Macaca fascicularis: one gene and its partners. The main gene of each other region encodes a partner of the protein of the gene in region 2 in a complex. Links are inferred from orthologs where the notes say so. Each region holds a gene or a part of one and is shown on either strand. Other genes may lie near its edges. The genes, in order: GNAI2, CCKBR, GAST and GNAQ.

Evidence for each region.
Region 1: the proteins of CCKBR (region 2) and GNAI2 are in contact, whole or in part, in a cryo-EM structure (PDB 7F8V), measured with the Homo sapiens proteins. The link is inferred for Macaca fascicularis from reciprocal best matches to the Homo sapiens genes CCKBR and GNAI2. Residues at the interface, in NP_795344.1 of Homo sapiens: Thr87, Thr89, Arg152, Ala155, Ile156, Pro159, Leu160, Ala162, Arg163, Val164, Thr167, Ser169, Ile241, Gly248, Leu249, Lys328, Val331, Leu335, His394, Arg396; in NP_002061.1 of Homo sapiens: Glu28, Ala31, Arg32, Glu33, Val34, Lys193, Leu195, Thr220, Phe337, Thr341, Asp342, Ile344, Ile345, Asn348, Leu349, Lys350, Asp351, Cys352, Gly353, Leu354, Phe355.
Region 3: the proteins of CCKBR (region 2) and GAST are in contact, whole or in part, in a cryo-EM structure (PDB 7XOW), measured with the Homo sapiens proteins. The link is inferred for Macaca fascicularis from reciprocal best matches to the Homo sapiens genes CCKBR and GAST. Residues at the interface, in NP_795344.1 of Homo sapiens: Cys107, Pro114, Asn115, Gly118, Thr119, Phe120, Met134, Gly135, Val138, Tyr189, Gln204, Cys205, His207, Leu222, Val349, Tyr350, Ala352, Asn353, Arg356, Pro361, Ala363, His364, Leu367, Ser368, Ile372, His376, Tyr380; in NP_000796.1 of Homo sapiens: Glu85, Ala86, Tyr87, Gly88, Trp89, Met90, Asp91, Phe92.
Region 4: the proteins of CCKBR (region 2) and GNAQ are in contact, whole or in part, in a cryo-EM structure (PDB 7F8W), measured with the Homo sapiens proteins. The link is inferred for Macaca fascicularis from reciprocal best matches to the Homo sapiens genes CCKBR and GNAQ. Residues at the interface, in NP_795344.1 of Homo sapiens: Thr87, Val88, Thr89, Asn90, Glu151, Arg152, Ala155, Ile156, Pro159, Leu160, Ala162, Arg163, Val164, Trp165, Gln166, Thr167, Ile241, Leu245, Gly248, Leu249, Val331, Leu335, His394, Arg396, Phe397; in NP_002063.2 of Homo sapiens: Arg30, Arg34, Asp35, Arg37, Arg38, Leu40, Ser198, Val199, Phe341, Lys345, Asp346, Ile348, Leu349, Gln350, Asn352, Leu353, Lys354, Glu355, Tyr356, Asn357, Leu358, Val359.

Annotation. Positions count from the first base shown.
Region 1 is NC_088376.1:113,265,706-113,270,926, reverse strand, and holds the start of GNAI2 (guanine nucleotide-binding protein G(i) subunit alpha-2), read right to left. Parts: upstream 3,307-5,221; 5' UTR 3,165-3,306; coding exon 3,047-3,164; intron 1-3,046. UniProt on the Homo sapiens protein: Guanine nucleotide-binding proteins (G proteins) are involved as modulators or transducers in various transmembrane signaling systems.
Region 2 is NC_088388.1:59,822,617-59,827,708, forward strand, and holds the start of CCKBR (gastrin/cholecystokinin type B receptor), read right to left. Parts: upstream 3,179-5,092; 5' UTR 2,970-3,178; coding exon 2,819-2,969; intron 1-2,818. UniProt on the Homo sapiens protein: Receptor for gastrin and cholecystokinin. The CCK-B receptors occur throughout the central nervous system where they modulate anxiety, analgesia, arousal, and neuroleptic activity.
Region 3 is NC_088390.1:62,755,519-62,760,498, reverse strand, and holds the start of GAST (gastrin), read right to left. Parts: upstream 3,135-4,980; 5' UTR 3,074-3,134; intron 616-3,073; 5' UTR 547-615; intron 27-546; 5' UTR 22-26; coding exon 1-21. UniProt on the Homo sapiens protein: Gastrin stimulates the stomach mucosa to produce and secrete hydrochloric acid and the pancreas to secrete its digestive enzymes. It also stimulates smooth muscle contraction and increases blood circulation and water secretion in the stomach and intestine.
Region 4 is NC_088389.1:108,683,362-108,688,442, forward strand, and holds the start of GNAQ (guanine nucleotide-binding protein G(q) subunit alpha), read right to left. Parts: upstream 3,254-5,081; 5' UTR 2,539-3,253; coding exon 2,403-2,538; intron 2,229-2,402; exon of another isoform or gene 1-2,228.

The DNA of each region.
Region 1 (5,221 bases), on a different chromosome or scaffold from region 2:
CCAGTAGATGCCAGGCTCCATGCTGGGCACAGAAATGAAGAGGACTTAGCCCTGCCCTACAGTCTCCAGGCATCTGAGAGGGGAAACAACAGCGCTGGGAGCCAGATGTTTCACCTTGGTTGAAGGAGGATGTCCAGGAAGGATCCTGGGAGGTGATCTGGGAGTAAAGTTTTAAAGAACAATCAAGTAGGGAACAACAGTTCCGCAAAGTTCCAGGGGCAAGAAAGAACTGCTCTGTTTACATTCTGAAGCCTTTATGGAGCCAGTGGTGGACACTGTCTCCTTTTTCTGTGAAGCCGTCCACACAAGCCCATCCCAAATCAGAGACTCTCCCCGCTCACACACACTCTGGCTTCCTTTCCCTTAAGTGCCCAGATTCCACCTGGGCCTAGCTGGTCAATCACATTGAGCTGGGTAGGAGTGGTGAGCATCCCTAGCGCAGGACTGGTATCTGCTCCCCCTACCAAGCTGCCAGGAAATACTCTCTTGCCTGTGTGTACCACATCAGCCTCTACCCTGGTGACAAGAACTGTGCCCGCCTGCTGGCAGAGCTACCCAGGATGGAGGGAGGCGATGTGCAGGCGGGGCAGCAGGCGTGGTTCTGGCTGGGAGGGAAGGCTGGCAGTTGCCCAACCTGAGTCCCGTTGCCTGGACAAAGTCTCCCGCTACATGGGACAGGCGCCCAGAACTCTGAACTTGCCACAGCTGGGCTCCCATCACCACCTTGCACCTGAATGGGAAAGGCATGGCTCAAGCCAGGATCCCTCCCCAGGCAGCCATGGCAGATTGGGTCGTCAATATCGGGCAGAGCTTAGTCAGAGCCCTTTGCAGCACACTGCAGGGTCTTAACTCCCAACCCACATCCCCAACAAGAACCACCAGGAGGCTCTTGTTCTCCCCACCCTGAGCTGGGATACTCCTTTGGCCCAAACCCAGGAAGCCCATTTCACAGAGTAAGCAAAGGCCAGAAGGCCAGGACCCCAGGGTGAACTCCCCAGGCTAGAAAGTGCTAAGCCAGACCCTGCCTCCCTGGCTGCTGCCAGCCCAGTGTGGGAGGAGTTGCCGGGTCTCACTTGACTTAGCCCAAAAGCTGAGCTGGGCTCCAAGGAGCAAGTCTGGTGGGATCGGGGACCCTTCTAGTGTCGGGACACAAAACTAGCCAGAAGCCCTACGTTCCCCCAGCTCTATGGTCCAGTCTTGCATTTCCTCAGTCACCACAGTAGCTGCAATCAGCCTAGGGAGAGGCTGGCTAGAGACTCCTGGCTGGGCACTGGGAGGCAGCGGTACCGGAAGTGCCCTCCCCAGGCCCATCGGGCAGCAGCAGCAGTAGCAGCGATGGGCATTCCGCCGCGTCGACACCCACTCACTGCCGCTGCCGCACTCACAGCAGAGACAGGAAGAGGCAAGCGCCCAACGCAAAGCAGCCCAGGAGGCTGGGCCGCCGCCCCTTCCCGCCCCTTCTCTTCCTCCCTGAGGCAGCAGCGAAGCGGATGCCATTTTGAAACCTCCGAGGCTGTGCCCCGGAGGCTAGGTCCGCAGGGACAGTCAACAGATGGGCCCATAATGAACATACATGCTGTTCCTCGGCCACAGGCCCAGCACGAAAAGCCTTGCTTTTCACAGCCTGGGAGCCCCATGACAGTTCTGAAGCTGAGGGGCCACACCCCCCCAGGCAGTACTCAGCCTACAACGGTGCTGTGCTGTTGCAAGGGCCTCCCTCCCCCGACTCTAAAACCCCCAAATCAAAATCAGACTGCCACTGGGCACCACCCCTACTTCCAGTGGGAGGTTGGATGGGGACAGCCAGTAGGCCCACTGTCTTTGCAAAAGGCCAGCTGGGATGCTCAGAAGCACCCTGGCCCACCCCTAGCTGGCCCCTCAACTCCTCATTCAGCTAGTCCACCATCCCCCTTCACAGGGTCCCAAGATCCAACAAGCCCCCGAACTCTCAGTGGCTACATCCCAGGCCTTGCAGCCCAGAAGGGGTGTGGGCAGCCCAGCACCTACTAGCAGATCTCTTGGGCTCACCCGCAGGGGCAGCAATATGTCGGCTATCTCACCACTTCCACTTCCCCCCACCCCTCTAGCAGCCACCATCTTTCCTGGCCTTGGAGGCGACCACAACCCTAACTCCTCCACACTCTCTCCTACTTCCCAGACTGGCCTTCGAAACTGGAAAACATAGAGCCCGCAGAGCCTCCCTGGGAAGCCTGAGGCCTGGCCCCCTCCCACAGCTTGACCAGTGGAGCCTCAGTCCAGCCCCGTGGGGGTTCTTCGTAAGGCAGCCTAGGCCCTCTCCAATCCGGGGCTCCCTCATCCTAGCCCAGCCCACTTGGTGCAGGAGAGGTGGAAGGATTGGGGAAGGCCAGAGTGTAAGAGGACTTAGTGGAGGATCAGCAGAAGGTTTCGGGAGTGATGCTTGCAGAGACGGATCTGGAGGGCAGGAAGCAGGGAGCAGGGCTCGCTGAAGGGGTTCCAGTTGGAGAGCGGGCTCAAGAGCAGTTTCCCATTCGAGAGGTTCCTTGGGTCAGAACGCACAGGTGGAAGACACAGATTCCAGACTAGGGATGGGGCACAGAGGGAGAAGGAGGGAGTGGGTAGGGGGCCTGGCAGGGGCTCCGCGGGATGCTCATGCCCAACAGGAATAAAAGGCGCAGATGAGGAAAACAAGTGGAGCCTGAGGGTTGGGGAACAAGTGGCGGGCATCCTGGGGGTTTGGGTAAAGTGTAAGGAAGGATGGCGGGGTCTCTGAAGTTCTGTGAAGCTGGTTAGTAAGGGGGGATGGCCAAGCAGGGCACTGGACCGCGGGTGTTGGGGCACTGTTGGCTGGATTTGGAGGTCTGGGATGAGATAGGGATCTGGTCTAGAGTCTGGGCAGGATCGAAGGTCTAGCCCAACCTAGAGTTTTCAACCCTGGTCCTGGCCCAGGTGTGGGGTCCCAGACAGCCCGAGTCTGGGAGTTCGAAGCCCTAGTATGAGAGGTCAAAGTCCTTGTCTGGGGATTCGAGCTGGGAATTAAGGATCCCAGTGCGGGACGCGGCCTCACCCAACAGCAGCAACTTCACCTCCCGCGCCGCCTTCTCTCCGTCCTCCCGCAGGTTCTTGTCGATCATCTTAGAGCGCTCGGCCGCCGCCTTGTCCTCGGCGCTCACTGTGCAGCCCATCCCGCCGTCCGCCGGCCCGGCCGCCGCCCGGCCCCCACACGGCCCACGGCCCGGCTCGGCCCCGCCCGGCCCCGCCCGACCCGCTCCGCTCCCACTACCAGCCCTCTGCGGGAAGCTCTCGGGTCGGCAGTTCAGAGCGTCTGCAGGAGGCGCCTTCCCGACCGCCGCGCACCGACGGCGGGGCGGGCCGGGGGTGGGGCCTGGGCTAACTAAGCCCGGGACTGGGCCGGGGCGGGTCTGGAGGCGGGGCCAGAGGAGATTCGAGGCTGGTGATTGGCTTGAGGGCGGGGCGAAGGGGGAATGAGGCGCAGCCCAGGCTCGGGCCTCGGCTGCAGGCGTGGCCACGCGGAGCAAAGGCAATAGGGGTGGATCCAAACCCAGGGACCCGGCACTGGGCGGGTTGCAGGCGGGGCCGGGCTGTGATTGGGTGCGGAGCGCCGGGAGCTCAGTTGCTGGACAGCCGGGAGGGCGGATCTGTTAGCCCGAGGGTGGGGATCCGGTGCCCTCGAGGACAGAGCAGGAACCAGCGCTCTGAGCTTCTGCGAGTTGGGCGAGTTAGGTGGAGGAGGCGTGTCTTTGTCATTTGTTAAAGTTAATGAGTCCAATAAACTTGTTTTGGAATCTACAGAACTCGGGAGCCTTTCTGGACTGCGGTTTTCTTTGTCTTAAGGCGGTAAACCGCCTTCTCCCTTTGGGTTGCAGCAAATCGAAAAAGAAAAAACAAAGGCCGGGCCCAGGGACTCACGCCAGTAATCCCAGCACTTTTGGAGGCCGAGGCGGGCGGATTACTTGAGATCAGGAGTTCGAGACCAGCCTGGCCAACATGGTGAAACCCCGTCTCTACTAAAAATACAAAAATTAGCTGGGCGTGGTGGTGGGCGCCTGTAATCCCAGCTACTCAGGAGGCTGAGGCAAGAGAACTGCTTCAACCCGGGAGGCAGAGGTTGCAGTGAGCCGAGATCACGCCATTCATTGCACACCAGCTTGGGCGACAGAGCAAAACTCCATCTAAAAAGAAAAAAAGCCGGGCGCGGTGGCTCAAGCCTGTAATCCCAGCACTTTGGGAGGCCGAGACGGGCGGATCACGAGGTCAGGAGATCGAGACCATCCTGGCTAACATGATGAAACCCCGTCTCCACTAAAAATACAAAAAACTAGCCGGGCGAGGTGGCGGGCGCCTGTAGTCCCAGCTACTCGGGAGGCTGAGGCAGGAGAATGGCGTGAACCCGGGAGGCAGAGCTTGCAGTGAGCTGAGATCCGGCCACTGCACTCCAGCCTGGGCGACAGAGCAAGACTCCGTCTCAAAAAAAAAAAAAAAAAAAAAAAAAGGGCCGGGCGCGGTGGCTCAAGCCTGTAATCCCAGCACTTTGGGAGGCCGAGACGGGCGGATCACGAGGTCAGGAGATCGAGACCACCCTGGCCGACACGGTGAAACCCCGTCTCTACTAAAAAAAAATACAGAAAACTAGCCGGGCGAGGTGGCGGGCGCCTGTAGTCCCAGCTACTCAGGAGGCTGAGGCAGGAGAATGGCGTGAACCCGGGAGGCGGAGCTTGCAGTGAGCTGAGATCCGGCCACTACACTCCAGCCTGGGCGGCAGAGCGAGACTCCGTCTCAAAAAAAATAAATAAATAAATAAATAAAAATAAAATAAAAAAATAAAAAAATAAAAAATAAAAAGAAAAAAAAAAAAGTTGATTTCCATCTTTACACCTTTGCCTAGGCTGTCTCCTTTAGCTGGGTGACTTCTCATATCCATCCTTCCCCAACCTACCAGGAGGCATTCTTCTGCAGGCAGCCATCCTGGACTCCAATCTGGGACCAGGCAATCAGGACCCAAGGGAGAAAGGGAGAGAGGGTGAGAGGGTGGAGACGGAGGAAGAGGGGAGGGCGAGCAGGCAGGGTGAGGGGGTTGGGAGGGAAAAAAGAGGAAGGAGTTGCCACTGGACTTCTAGAAACAAAAGTGGCCACAATCTTATGACCTGTCTCTTCCATGGCCTGTCCACGTCTGGAGGTGGCCATGATCCCACATCCCACCCTCCTGTGGCCTGTCCCCACT
Region 2 (5,092 bases):
GCTTTCACAGGGACTCTTCTCTATTGACTATCCCCTTTCTTATCTGCACCTTCAATCTTCCTCTCTTGGCCCAATCAACATCAAACACTTTTAAAAGCTCTTGTTTTAAAATGTGTGCACGCACACACAACAAACCTACACATATACCCGCCCCCCTACCCCAACCCAGCTGCCTCAATCTCATGCTATTTTTGGCAATATCCTGGTTTTCTCTCTCTCTCTCTCTCTCTTTCTCTCTCTCTACCAAACATTTGAAAGTTTTGGCTATATACCCTGGTTCACTTCTCATAACTCCCTCTCCCACCAGCCCAATCTTCAACTTACTATAGTCAAGCCTCAATACCTACAACTCCTAAATATTTTCTTGTTACTGAATCTGAAAGATGCTGTTCTGACTGTCCTGTTTTTTATTTATCTAACTTACATCAATAGCATTTGACATCGCTTACCCCAACCTGCTTGAAACTCTCTTTTTCTTGCTTTCTGGAAGGGCATAGCTCCTGCCTTTCTGACGGTTTCATCTGAATCTCCTTCATAAATTCTCCTTTCTCTGCCTGGGTTTTAAATAATGGTCTTATGCAGAGTCTTGACCCAGGACTTATTTTCTTCTCGTTCTATACAAAATATTATGATTTTAACTATTCTCATGGCTTCTACCTCCTGTAGGCAAATACCTTCAAGTCTGTATTTCCACCTCAGACCTCTCCTGTAAGTTCCAGACCCCTGGATTCAATAGCTTACTAGGTAACCTCACCTGGATGATCCCACTAACATTTAGACTCAATGGGTTCCAAACTGAATTCATAATTCCTTCTTCCAAACCTATTTCTGCTGTTTTGTTATCTTGCTCATTGTATACAATTGCTATAGCACCAATATCCATTCAATTGTCCAAGTTAGAAATCTGAATGTCATCCCTTGACCTCTTCCATCCTCTCTGCTTCTAATCTGTTGATTCCATTTCCAGAAAAGGCTCTCAAATCTATACACCTCTCTCTGTCCCCCTTGCCATTACCGTAGTCTCAGCTGGCATCATCTTTCACTTAAACCAGTGTAATATAGTAACCTTCTAAAGTACCCCCCTGCCTTCCATCTCATGTCTTCCAATCCATTCTCCACATTATAGAACTAATCCTGGTAGTGCTACTGAATCTTTTAGTAGTTCCTATTGCCCTCAGGATAAAGTCCACATTCCATGGTCAGGTCTAATAGGCTCTCTGCAAACTCTCTAGGCTGGTCTCCAGCCTGTTCATTATTCCCTTCTTAAGATATATGTTGTAGCCACTCAAAACTATGTCACAGTGGATAAAAGTGCCATGAATTCAAACTTGGAGCTTTTTATACATCTTTTATTTGGGATGCTTTCTGCCTCTTCTGCCTGTTTACTTGACTGACTCTCATATATATATATATATATATATATATATATATACACACACACACATACACACACACACACACACACACACACACACACACACACACACACACACTTTTCTTTTTTTTCCAACAGGAAGCTTAGAGCCAATCTCCCTAATTTTTTTCACTCTGTATCTCATTTCCTTAAGAGGCCAACCTTAATTCTCACGGAGGCTAGGCTGGGCTAGAGGTGCTCCACTTGTGTTCCCACTATCTTTTCCCTATCAAGGCTCTTCCACTTTGTGCTTCTATCCCCTGCTTGTCTGTCTCACCCATTAAGCTTTGAGCTCTGTGAAGTAGGAATTGTGTCAGTTTTGTTCAACTTACATTCCCACTGCCTAGCACAATCTCTGGTTCAATAAATATTGGCTGAATGACAAATCCAAGTGTGAGTGTGTAACAAATGGGCTGAGAAAGCATAGATTATTTCATGGGGTAAATACTTGGATTACAATTTATTCCAACTTTCCCTTCTCAAGTTTAGAAAAATTTATTTCCTTCACTAGAATCCCATCCTTCCTTTTCTGCCCACTCAACTTCAAGACCCAGCTCCAAGATTCTAGCCTCTGTGAAGTTCTTTTGGTGCCCACAGTTTAAACCTTTTCATGGGATTTCCACTGTGTCTGTGATTTTTCCATTTGCTTTTTTCTCTCTGCACTTGGCTATGGGTCATGAGGGACCAGACTGGGTCTAGTTTGCCTTGTACCCCCAGCACCTAGTCTAGGGCTGAAGAGGGAGCTTGGAAGATAGCTGGAGACATTACTTGCAGACAAAGAGAGAGGGCACAGAGCCTTGAAAGCTCCAACTAGGGAGGCAGAGGGGTTTGAGGAGTGAAATGGAGACAGGCAGTTTTAAGGGGCATCTCCTAGTGTCCAGCCTAAATCAGATTTGAGGATCTTTTTTTGGGATGCCTGGGGGCTGAGGTGTCAGATGTGATCACATCTTCGGTTTCCCATTCAAGCTTTCCAGAGTGCTCCCTCCCTCAACCAGCCCCCTTCTTTTCCCAATCCTGCCTTCCTTTCTTCCTTCCCTTCTCTGTTGTGGCTTTGTGAACTGGATGTAAGAGGGAAAAGGAGATCTGCAGGGTTGGCAAGAGGAGCTCCTCGCCTTCTAACTGGTGTCTAGGAGGGGCTGCGTGTTGGGGAAGGGGCTGTGCTTTGGGGCAAGCAGCGGCTCTGGGTGTAATCAGGGGACCAGGATGTGAAGGAGTTCCGACCAGGTGGTGTGAAGCTATGAACCTGTGAGCTGTGGGGGTGAAGGTGTGAGAGGAGCTGTTTGGGGGCTGAGGGGCACGGTGTGGGCGTTTGAGGAGATAGTGTGGAGCTCGTGGGGGGACTCTATTAGTGTTCTGGGGTACAGTGAGAAAGAGCTTGTGGAGGGGGATGAGGGGGGCACCCACCTCGTGTCCCGGCTCCGCGAATGCGAGGGGGCTCGCAGCTGAGGTTGCCCACACTGCTGCTGTTGAGGAGAGGCGCCGCCGGGCGGCACAGGGAAGCCCCCGGCCCGGGTCCGGTTCCCTGCACGCTCCGATTCAGCTTTAGCAGCTCCATGGCCCCGGCGGAGCCCGCCGCCTTACTCTGCTCGGCCTGGCGGGCTCCCACCGCGGCTCCACCTGCTCACGCTGCGATGGGCTCAGGCTCCCACCGCCCTCCTTCCCCGCCTCCCTGCCCCCCCTGGTCTCCGCCCCCAGCCCAGGCGCCTGCCCTTCCACTCTCCCGCGGCTCACCCCGCCTCGGTTCCCGTCCCTCCGCCAGCCTCTGTCCCACCAGGTGACTGTGCACCCCCTCCCGGGCTCGGGAGTTCTGCCCCTCCCTGTGCGACTGTCCTCCAGGCTCGCCCCCTCCCTAGATCTGTCCTGTCTCCTCTTAGAGATTTCTCTCCTGCCCACCTCTCTTTATCACCCGCCCCCACCCTCGATTCCCCGGAATGACAGAGAGAGAGAGAGAGAGAGAGAGAGAAAGAAAGAGAGAGAGAGAGAGAGAGAGAGAGAGAGAGAGAGAGAGAGAGAAGACAAGAGTATTGGCAGCGTAGCGGGAGGTTTTGGGGAAGGGAGGGTAGGAGGCGTTGGGTAGAGACGGCTGCCACGGATCCAACATCTTTCTCTGGTGTATCAGGGAACGTGGAGGTGGCGTTGGAGACCGGGTCTGCGTGCGTCACCTGCTGAGGCGCGGATGCTTTAGTCTGCACCTAGAGCCGCATTTATGGTACTGTGTTGCAGTGACCGCAGTGACCGTGACACTATTGCTACCGTAGTTCCCTGCAGCTCCTCGCTGCGGGACTAGGGTAGCTCCTGCATCTGTCTCCGCAACCTTCACCTCCTATCGGAGGCTCAACACTCAGGCTTCCACTTAAGGTTCCCAAGGAGCCCTCCACAGCTGGGCGGGAGTGGGGGTGGGGCCAGGATTTGGCTCCAGGGGAGGCTTGCCAGGGGAAAGGGCTCCCGGGAGGCAGCTTCTGACTTGGGTGTTGAGGGCAGTTGGGGGTGGTGGCAAGAGCTGACAAGGATAAACCCGAGTAACGTGAAGATGGGATATAATTCTAACGCCGGCCCAGCGCAGACAAAAGAGGAGGAGACGGTTGGCTTTCTCCACCGTCTCCAGGCAGCGCCCACGCCCACCCGACACGCTAACGGCTCCCTGTTTACTCTCAGTGCAGGCAGAGCTGCCTGTGTAGGGTGTCAGGTTCCCACGAGTGGGGGCTGGAAGGGGACTGGGTCACTGGGGTGCAGCGGGAACAGGGCTGAAGGGTGCAGGACTGAACTGGGTTCATCTTCTCAGGGCAGGATTTGCCTCTTCTACTATTTCAGCCCTGCTCCTTATGCATTCTCCTATCCATTCCTTTTCTTCCCCAGATTCCTATCTCCAGATTCCTATCCATTCTTCAGATTCCAGATGAACTCCAATACGATGTGAAATTCTGTCTTTTGACCCCCAGCAGTAGCTGTAAGAGGTGGGGGGCGGGCATCAGTGGAAGAGCAAATTAGAGAATGGAGTCTGGCTTTATGGGGGATTCAGCAGGCCTTTATCCAATCAATCTTTTGGAGAGGACCTGGTTCAGCCAGCTCTGAGTTTATAGGGGCTGAAGCATTGAAAGAGAGTTGAAAGACAGTTTATGCCTGAGATGTCGTCAACTGCCCCTCCTTCCCTTCCTCCTGGCACTGCCTGTCTTGCCCATCAGAGAGCCTGGACCAGACGAGCTTGATTTCCTATTTGTTCAACTCCAGCGCAGGTGAGGCCTCAGATAACCTGCTCAAGTTTTCCCACATTGGATGGCAGTACGATGAGGAGGGAAGGGAGCAAAGGACATAAGGGAGAGGGGAGTGAAAATAGAAGTAGATGAACATTCACTTAATTAGCAAACTATGCCAGTTCTAGGGGTGTGCATTAGTTGTCCAATATAGTTTGCCCCTGAGTAGCACCTACTCTAGTGGGGATTTTCCCAAGTAAGCCAATGATTGTAATATACGGTCGTTAAGTGCACCCATCGGGATGTACATATCAGAAATTTAGGAATTATTATTGATGCCTTACTCCCCTATGATCCTTCACCCCTGTGCTGGATGCTGTGATGCAAAGCCCAGAACTCTCTTCAAAAATGAAGGATTTATTTTCCAGTTGCGGAGAGTGCTGCTAAAAGATGGCCCTCAGCTGTCAGAACCCTTCAGGAGTTGCCT
Region 3 (4,980 bases), on a different chromosome or scaffold from region 2:
ATACACACACAGTTGCTGCATCTCGTCTGCAAAGGGGAGAAGGGACTAGCTTAAGGGTGAGGCTGTCCCCACATAGGCCCAGAGGCAGGGGACTGAGCGATGTGGCTCCAGGCCTCTACCTGCTGATGAGTCTGCAATTTTTTTTTTTTTTTTTTGAGACAGAGTTTCCCTCTTGTTGCCCAGGCTGGAGTGCAGTGATGGGATCTCGGCTCACTGTAACCTCTGCCTCCCAGGTTCAAATGATTCTCCTGCCTCAGCCTCCAGAATATCTGGGACTACAGGCATGTGCCACCATGCCTGGCTAATTTTTGTAATTTTTAGTAGAGACGGGGTTTCACCATGTTGGCCAGGCTGGTCTCAAACTCCTGACCTCAGGTGATCCACTTGCCTCAGCCTCCCAAATGCTGGGATTACAGGCGTGAACCACCGCGCCCAGGTGAGTCTGCAATTCCATGTGGAGTTGTGGACTATTTCTTCAGTTAAATTCTCCAGTTTCTGCCGGTTCCACGCCAGCCCCAAAGTCTCGTGTTTTTTCTCTTTACTTACCCTTATTACAGCCACTGCTTCTCTTGGAGAAAGTCAAATCCTAGGGCAATGGTTTTCCTAGGTTCTGTTCTGCAGAATTTGAGGCCATGTTAGTGGCTCTGTAGTTGTTTAAGTCATGTAATTTATTTATTTATTGAGACAGGGTCTCACTCTGTCACCTAGGCTGCAGTGCAGTAGTGCAATCACTGCTCACTGCAGACTATACCTCCTGGGCTCAGGTGATCCTCTCACCTCAGCCTCCAGAAGAGCTGGGACTACAGGCTTGCACCACCGCGTCCAGCTAATTTTTTTGTATTTTTTGTAGAAATGGGGTTTCACCATGTTGCCCAAGCTAGTCTTGAACTGTTGGGCTCAAGCAATCCTCCCACCTCAGCCTCCCAAAGTGCCGCGATTACAGATGTGAGCCACTGTGCTTGGCCCAAGACTTGTTATTTAAAGTGAACTTTTTAGGCCAGGCATGGTAATCCCAGCACTTTGGGAGGCTGAGGAGGACAGATCCCTTGAGCCCACAAGTTTGAGACCAGCCTGGGCAACATACCGAATCCCATCTCTACAAAAAATACAAAAATTAGCCGGGCATGGTGGCATGCACCTGTATTCCCAGCTACTTGGGAGGCTGAGGTGGGAGGAACCCTTGAGCCCTGGAGGTGGAGGTTGCAGTGAGCCGAGATTGCACCACTGTACTCCAGCCTGGGCGACAGAGTGAGACCCTGTCTCAAAAAAACAAAAACAAAAAGTGAAACTTTTAAATAGGAATACCAAAGGAACATAGACATCCAACTGTGTTACAGACCGCATGTTATCACTTTGGAGACTGCAGCACATTCAACGCTTGGCCAGCTCACACTGCTTTTTTGTGCGGCCCTGAGAGGAAAGGTTCTCCAGTCATTTTTGCTTAACTGAGGAATATCCTGTGATTATAATGAAGCAGTTAAGAAAAAATTAAGCTGTCACCATTAGCAATTATGTATCAGGGTGAATCCAGTTTGGGGAAAAGATATAATACAGAACTAAACTGGAATCTCAAACAAACGTAAAATTCAAATGGTCATCTGTTCCCCGGACTCACGATTTTTGTATTCTTTTAGTCTCATTATTCTGATTGGCTTTATCATAAGAAAATGATAAAAATTTTCTCTTGTCAGAATACATTTATATTAATAAAGTACTGCTTTTAAGTTTTTCTTTTTTTCTTTTTGTGAGACAGAATCTTGCTCTGTCTCCCAGGCTGGAATGCAGTGGCTGGAGTGATCCTGGCTCACTGCAGCCTCGACTTTTTGGGCTCAAGAGGTCCTCCCACCTCAGCCTCCTGAGTAGCTGGGACTACAAGTGTGCACTACTATGCCCAGCTAATTTATTTGTTTTTATTTTTAGTAGAGATGAGGTCTCACTATGTTGCCCAGGCTGGTCTGGAACTCCTGAGCTCAAGTAATCTGCTTGCCTCAGCCTCCCAAAGTGTTGTGATCACAGGCATGAGCCACGGTGCCTGGCTATTAAGTTTTTCATAATGAGGTTCTCTGTTAGGTTTTCCTTGGAAGAAAAGAATTCTGCTGCTGAAGAAACGTTTGAAAACTCAGTGATCTGGAGCTGTACTGTCAGATGCTAACCACACGTTGGTTGTTCAGTGTTGTAGCCACCAATCACGTGTGGCTCTTTACATTTAAATTAATTAAATTAAAAAATTACAGCCAGGTGCAGTGGCTCACGCCTGTAATCCCAGCACTTTCAGAGGCCGAGGGGGTCGGATCACTTGAGGTCAGGAGTTTGTGACCAGCTTGGCCAACATGGTGAAACTCTGTCTCTACCAAAAATATAAAAAATTAGCCGGGTGTTATGGCAGGCGCCTGTAATCCCAGCTACTCAGGAGGCTGAGGCAGGAGAATTGCTTGAACCTGGGAGGCGGAGGTTGCAGTGAGCTGTGATCACGCCACTGCACTCCAGATTGGGTGACACAGCAAGACTCTGTATAAAAAACAAACAACAACAACAACAACAACAAACTTCCTTACACCAACCCCATTTCAAGCACACACGTGGCTAGTGGCTACCATATTGAACAGTGCAGATAAAGAACATTTCCCGCATCATAGGACGTTCTTTTGGATGGCAGTGGTCTAGGAAAGGGCTTGAAGTGGGATCCAGGAGCTGTGGATTCCCATCCCAGCCCTGCCTAAAAATCCCTGTGACTTTGGGCAAGTCACATCTTGCCTCTGGGCCTCAGTTTTCTCACCTAAGAGAGAGGAGAAGAACCCCAGTCCTCCTCACCTCCCAGGGGAGGAGTGTGAAGGGAGAGGTTAAGGGCAGAGCCCCGGCTGGGACAGAGGGCAGGTGGAAGGCAAGGCTGGGAATACAACGGTAGGTACTGGAGCCAAGACCTAGTTCCATCCTGGGATAAAGAAAGGGTCCCAGCTCTGGGGACTCCAAGGGGTGAGCCCCAGACTCTGGCCAGTGGCCTGATACCTTGATGGGGGAGAGGACCTGTCAACCCACTTCCCAGCCTCTCCCCTCTCCTCCTGGGTTTTCTCACCTGCAGAGCTGGGAGGTGTGTGGTGTGGCGGTTGGGCCTGGTGCCTCTCAGGTCTCTGTTCTGCCTGGTGTTCCAGGCCTGCCTTATAAAGCCCTCGAGGTCCCTCCCAACTGTGCCCCCCCACCCCTACCCTGCCATATGAGTCCAGGCGAGAGGAATGGGGTGGGGCACAGGTACAGCCCATCGTCCTGCCCCGCCCTGTCATTTAGTGTCAGTCAGTCATCCAGGATGTGGGGGAAGGATAGGGGAGTTGACCTTCATGGTGAGGGGCTGGAGCGGGGTGGTGGCAGCTCTCCAGCTGTACCTAAGGGGCAGGAACCAAGCTCCCTTGGTCAGGAGCAATGCTCCCCACCTATCCTGGGGGTCAGAGGCCTGGTACTCATCTCTCAAACTACGTAGGGACTTTTGTGGGTGGTGGTAGGTGAGGGAGTGAACCCGATGGGCTTAGATTCAGGGAAAGTAGATTTCACCATCCACTGATGTTTGATGAGTGTGTGAATGTGGGGTGATGTATTGATTCCCCGTCCCCTCCACTGGACTCTGCAAATACAACGTGTTACCAGGAGCAATGGATTGTGGGCTGATGGCCCTGTTCTCTCCTTCTGGTGGCTCACATCCTGGTCACCTCTGAAGCCCCTTCACCCTCCCCCTACCATGGAACACCCTCGGCGCCTTCTTCTCCTTAGGCCTTCTGTGCTGGTGTGAGTTTGGCTTGTAGCTGCCCCACATCTCCCAGGTCAGCTGCCCATGCACCACCACCTGCAAACCCCCTATGCAGAGCCAATTCCTGGGGGGTCCTGCCTCTCAAGTCTCCTTCATTTTGCTTTCAGGGGAGCTAGTAATCTGCAAAACAACCTTTTTTTTTTTTTTTTTTTGAGACAAAGTCTAGCTCTGTCACCAGGCTGGAGTGCAGTGGTGTGATCTCAGCTCACTGCAACCTCCACCTTCCAGGTTCAAGCAATTCTTCTGCCTCAACGTCCCAAGTAGCTGGGATTACAGGTGCACGCCCCCACACCTGGCTAATTATTATTATTATTTTTTTTTTTGAGATGGAGTCTCACTCTGTCCCCCTTGCTGGAGTGCAGTGGCCGGATCTCAGCTCACTGCAAGCTCCGCCTCCCGGGTTCAGGCCATTCTCCTGCCTCAGCCTCCCGAGTAGCTGGGACTACAGGCGCCCGCCACCTCGCCCGGCTAGTTTTTTTGTATTTTTTAGTAGAGATGGGGTTTCACTGTGTTAGCCAGGATGGTCTCGATCTCCTGACCTCGTGATCCACCCGTCTCGGCCTCCCAAAGTGCTGGGATTACAGGCTTGAGCCACCGCGCCCGGCCAATTTTTTGTATTTTTGGTAGAGATGGGGTTTCACCATGTTGGGCGGCCTGGTCTCGAACTCCTGACCTCGTGATCGGCCCGGCTCGGTCTCCCAAAGTTCTGGGATTACAGGTGTGAGCCACCATGCCCAGCCAACAACTTTTCAGTGTCAAAGTATACCTTCAAATGGTTAGCAAACAGACTAAAGCATTTGCCGAAGATGGACCAGAAAACAAAACGGCACTTTGTTGACTTATTCGATAAACTGCTGCCTCCACATGGTTTGACCGGATGTAATGAGTTGTAGGCTGTTTTTGATTTTTCCACCGTTGAGAGCAAAGATTTTGCTTCTGTTCATGCGTCATCAGGCCCCCTCCTTTTCTGGGAGAGTTTGATTCCCCTTGGGTCTTGGGTAACGGCTGTGGTACCCACGCTCACAGCCAGCCTTGTTGAGAATTAATGGGTGATGAAGGAAGCAGGCTGTGCGGTGTCCATGGCAACCGACGGCTGAATAACCGTTGTGAATAACCACTCTGATCCAGAGCAGGACACGGTGACTCAGCAGATGGAATTAATGAAAATGACAAAAAGCAGTGCA
Region 4 (5,081 bases), on a different chromosome or scaffold from region 2:
ACATTCAGTCTACTCATCAAAGCAGCAAATCAGGAATTCCTCAAATGAAATCCTTCCCTAATATCTTCCTTGTTGAAATCAACCATCCTGGATTCAAAAACTCCTGAAATCACACTCATACACACACATGCACGCACAAATCCACATTTAGCGTACATTACTATATAGTGTATTGTGGTATTTATGTTGCAAAGGCAACATACCAAGAACATGAAGCAGTAACAATACTTGCATGATGTTCCGCGAATAAGAGGAAAAAAAAGTTCTCCACACTACCACCACTTTAGCAGTAAAACTGGTTTACACTTTTTCTCAGAAAATTATCTCCAAGTTCATTTTTAAAAGCACAGTGTTATTTAAACACACAGTATGGAATTAAGCATCCATGTAAGTGTATTTCCCTTAAACATTCAAACCTAGGCCCATTGACAAACCGGTTCCCTGGGCTTCAACTCTTAGCTGCTGGGAAACTCAGAGCTGTCACTTTTCAGGCAAACAGGGTTGGCTGGAGAGACCTCAACTGCCCAGTTCACAGTTAAACAGAAACAAAGACTGTCAACAGGGCAACAGAAGAAACAAAACAATTCTTAAAACAAGTCTCTCTAAAATACGTGCTTTTCCCCTTAATCATGCACTTAAACACTCTACATATTTCTTTTGTTCTTTATTTTCTTCTCAATCTTGAGAACTCAGAAAACATTCAACTGCCTGTTTTCAGCCATTAGAAGTAGCTCAAAATGAGAATTAAAAAAAAAAAAAAAAAATCTTTACTTTCCAACTGCAGTTTGCCTCCTCCCTGGCTTCATTCCCCTAAGCCCACCTCTTTCATCTAGTGTTTCGCCTTCAGTTCTTTATAAACATGTGCCCATTTATCTGAGTTTCAAAATGAAGACATAAAGCATGTCATGTGAATTAACCATTAGTAACTATGTGTGTGATCAGTATATTTTGTTCCTGCTTGTAAATGATCCAGTACATAAGCAGTTCATTCCCAAAGGCAATTGGTTCCTTGAGCCAGCAAATGGAATGCTCAAGATAAGAAAGAAAATGCATGCTTCTCAAACACCAACTGACAGTACAATATTCTTTTCTTACAGAAATGTTTGAGAAACACATTTATTATACATGCAAATATCCAGAACACAAGACATTTTTCAGGCCTGTTACTGCAAAGCTGTTTGCTCTTCCCACCACAATAGCTCAGGGTTCTGTCACTGTGGCTTGTATGTGAATCCTGATCGCTTGATTCTGAACATCCTCTCTGAGATAATCATCAATAAATTTCTATTTGAGAAATGGCATTTTCTTGCTAACTTAGAGCTAAAGCAGAATTTTTTTTCAAGACTAGAGGAAAATTTTTCCTGTATGCTTCCCGTTTTCCTTCTAGCCCAGATTCCAAAGATATTAAAATGCTATGTGTTTTAAACAAAAGGTTTCTATTTGTTGCCAAGAGAGTAACTGAGAGACTGCACTGGTTTTCGGCAGTAACTATTGTGAATTCAGGCCTACATCTGGGTTGCCTCATTAAACAAAAGATACCGGTCGCTGTCAACAACCACACAGCACAACACTCCCCTACCCTCATCTTTATCTAGAAGCAATGGTGCAGACGAGAATCACGCCTGTCACCATCCACTAGCCAAGAAACTCTTCTAGGCTCCCTCCTTTCGATGGTCTGGTGGCTAGAGAACAGCACTTCTGTGACACATTTGGGCTCGCCCTCCCGCCCCGCCCCCAATACACAGGCCCTTTCCTTGGAGGGCCAACCACTTGGCTTCCTCATCATCAGTGCTCCGGGAATCCAGTTGCGAGTCTGCCCACCGTTCCCCCATTCCCTCCTGACCCCAGAGGGCACTGATAATAGATGGACACCGGCCACCCCACCGCAGGCCATCTCCCAACGTGCCCCAGCTCCGCTCGCCACCCGCTGGGCCACACACACGGCTCCCCGCGCCACCACCCCATGGGATGCCGCGGCCACGACACTGGAAGTTCAACCCCTCTGCCCACCTTTCCACCCCCGCGCCTCTGGCCGGAGTGATCTGCCATTTAGCAGATGCACAGCAGATAAGGCACAGCCCTCAGGGACCCAAAAAGAAAAAAGCCGAGACACCCGCCAGGGCAGCCGCGACCCCTCTGCTGCGTGTGTGTATCTGGGTGTGTGTGTGTGTGTGTGTGTGTGTGTAACGCGCCTGCGTGTGTGTATCTGGGTGTGTGTGTGTGTGTGTAACGCGCCCGCGCGCCCGCGCGGGTGAAGGCAGTGGCCGGGGGCGCGCCCGGGAGGGTAGGGGCTAGCCGGGGGCGCCGGGGGGCGGGGGACGCCGAGAGGGCAGCTGTCCCGCAGGGCCAAGGATGGTGGGCTGGGGGCGCAGAGGCCCGGCGGGGCCCCGGGCGGTACTCACCGAGCAGCAGCAGCTTGAGCTCCCGGCGGGCGTCCCGCTTGTCCCTGCGGAGCTGCCGCTCGATCTCGTCGTTGATCCGCCGGGCTTCCTTGGCCTCCTCGCTCAGGCAGCACGCCATGATGGACTCCAGAGTCATTCTTCCAAAGTGCCTCCGCTGTAGCCCCGCCGGCACCCCCTGCTCACAGCGCGCACACACACCCTCCCGCCCTCGCTCCCCCGAGGCAGCGGTAGCCGCCGAGCCCCCGCCGCCCGGGCGCGCGGCCGGGACGAGCTCCGGGAACCGCCGCGGGGGCAGCGGCCGGAGCCGGAGCCACCAGGTGGGCCGGGGGCGCGGTGGGAGCGGATGGCCTGGGCCGACGGGAGAAGCGAGGCGGGCGCGGGAGGCGGGCGCTGGCTCGGGGGGCGCGTGAGAGAAGGCCGCCGCGCCCGGCCTCGCTCAGACGCCCGCGCCTCCTTCCCCAGGAACGGGCGGCCCGCCTCGCCCCCCGAGCCGCCGCCGCCGCCGCCGCCTGCGAGGCTCCCCTACGCCGTGCGCCTGGCGGCGAGAGCTCATCCACCGGGGTGTCCCCGCAGCGAGCGGCCGCCGACGGCTCCCCGCGCCCGGCGCGCCCGCTCCTCGCCGCCGCCTGACACGGCTCCCGGGCGCCTTCGGCCCTGTCCGCGCCCACCGCCCGGCTCGCGCGCAGACCCGGTTCCCGGCCCGCCCGGCAACCGCGCGCTCCTCCGCCTCCGCCTCCGCCTCCGCCCCCGCCAGACGCCCACCCCCTGCCCCGATTGCCAGGCGCGGAGCGGCTGCTCAGTGCGCGCCCTCCCCCTCGCCACACACACACATTTTCTTCTTTCTCTGAACTGGAGCACAGATCCGGGAGGGAGGAGGCGGCGGCGAAAGGAGGAGGGGAGGAGGCGGAGGGGACGGGCGCGGGAGGAGGGGAGCCGGGAGGCGGTGCCGCCCGGCCCCTCCTGGAAGGCTTTCCTGGGCTCGCGGCCGCCGCGGCGCGCCTCCCAGTGCGGCTCTCGCCTCGCCCGCGCGGCTCCCGGGCTGGGCCGGCTCTCTCGGGCTCTGCGGACGCCCACTGCTCCCGTACCCTCGGCAGAGCCCGCTGGCGCCGCGGTCACGGCCGCCCCCGGCCGCCGACGTGCAGCCCGAGCCGGCGGTCGCCGTTGCGTGCTAGGACCGCCGCCGACCTGCGGTTGCCGTCCGGCCGGGCGTGGTGAGGCGGGAAAATGGCGGTCTCTGCCTGCCTCAGCCCACCGGCCCGGGAGCGCGGCCGCGGCCCCTGCTGAAGTCGCGGGAGGCGGCCCCGCGGAGCCCCGCACGCGCTCCCTGCGGCGCCGGCGCTGGCGTCCGCGGCTCCCGCGCTGTGCCTGTGTGCTCCGCGGGGACGCTCCTCAGCCGCTTCTGTGTTTCCCGTTCCTATTTCTAAAACGCCATTCGGTTAGAAACTCTCGTGTCACCTCTGACCCCGGTGCAGTCTTAGAAAATAAGATCCTCTATACTGTGGGGGGCAACTGGGGAAGGGAAGGAATTGGCACCGGTGCCCGGAGGCACAGGGGGAGATTCACAGGCGAAGCTGTCCGCAAAGTAACGAGATAGAAATCTAAATCCTGAGCAGAGAAAGGAAGCTGCCCAAGTTTCCAGCAGCCTCCCGATAGGTTCCAACTTTTCATGCCTTTGTTTTTTTGGTGGTGGTTGGTTGTTTCTGTTTTTTTTTTAAGTTGTTTTTGTTTTTGTTTCACAAGTTCTCTTGTTTCTGACAAGGCACACAATGTTTAACCGCCGAGTAATCGAATTTACCCTTCTAGACTGAGATTGAATTATGGATGACTTATGGGAAAATGTTAAATAATATGAAATAAACGGAAAGGAAACAATGAAATAGAAGAGAAACTAAGGTGGCCCCAGCAAAGTGGCATTCTAGTTTTTTTGGTTTGCAATATTTGATTGAGGCAGTTAAGTGTCGTGTGCATATTTCATTGTGATCGTCTGCTGATAAATAGCACACGAAAATAATCTCGTTCAATCAGGTCCAGGAGGTGAAACTCATACTGCTTCCTGCCTTAAAGGAACCTGAGATCTTCAAAGAAAATTGTCTTTTATGACGAGAACCGCTTTTTCACGTTTCATGTGTTCTCTGAAGTGTCCCTGGTGCAACCTGCTGATTCAGAGTGTAAGGTATGGTCATGACTTTGCTTTTGCTACAGATCAAGAATTCATATAGGGTTCTTAGACAACAGGTGTGTAACTTCCTTCTTTCTTTCATTTGCCATTACTCCACCCTTTCACACACATACACTCTAAACCAGAATTTAAATCAAGCAAGTCAAGATACAAAATGTACATTTTAGGTTCTCTCTTTAAAACCTAGAAAATAATTAAATTTCACCTTGGCCTGGAGAGCAGAGAGGGCAAACCTCAACCCTTGTATGTGAATGCCTACAAAGAACAGCTAGACTTGCAATGAAATTAAAATTTAAAATCAAGTGACTAAAGAAATTAAAGATTGAAATTCAGTGTGCAAAAATAGTAGCTTCAGGAGAAAAAATTTTAAGTTTGCATCCTCCTAATATATGTCTGTATATGAGCTTTGGAGAGACACAAAACAATGAAAAACCAAGTGACAGAAAGCTTCAAGTGTCTGGTTTCCTACCCAAGGATCCTCTGAGACTTTCAAAAATGTC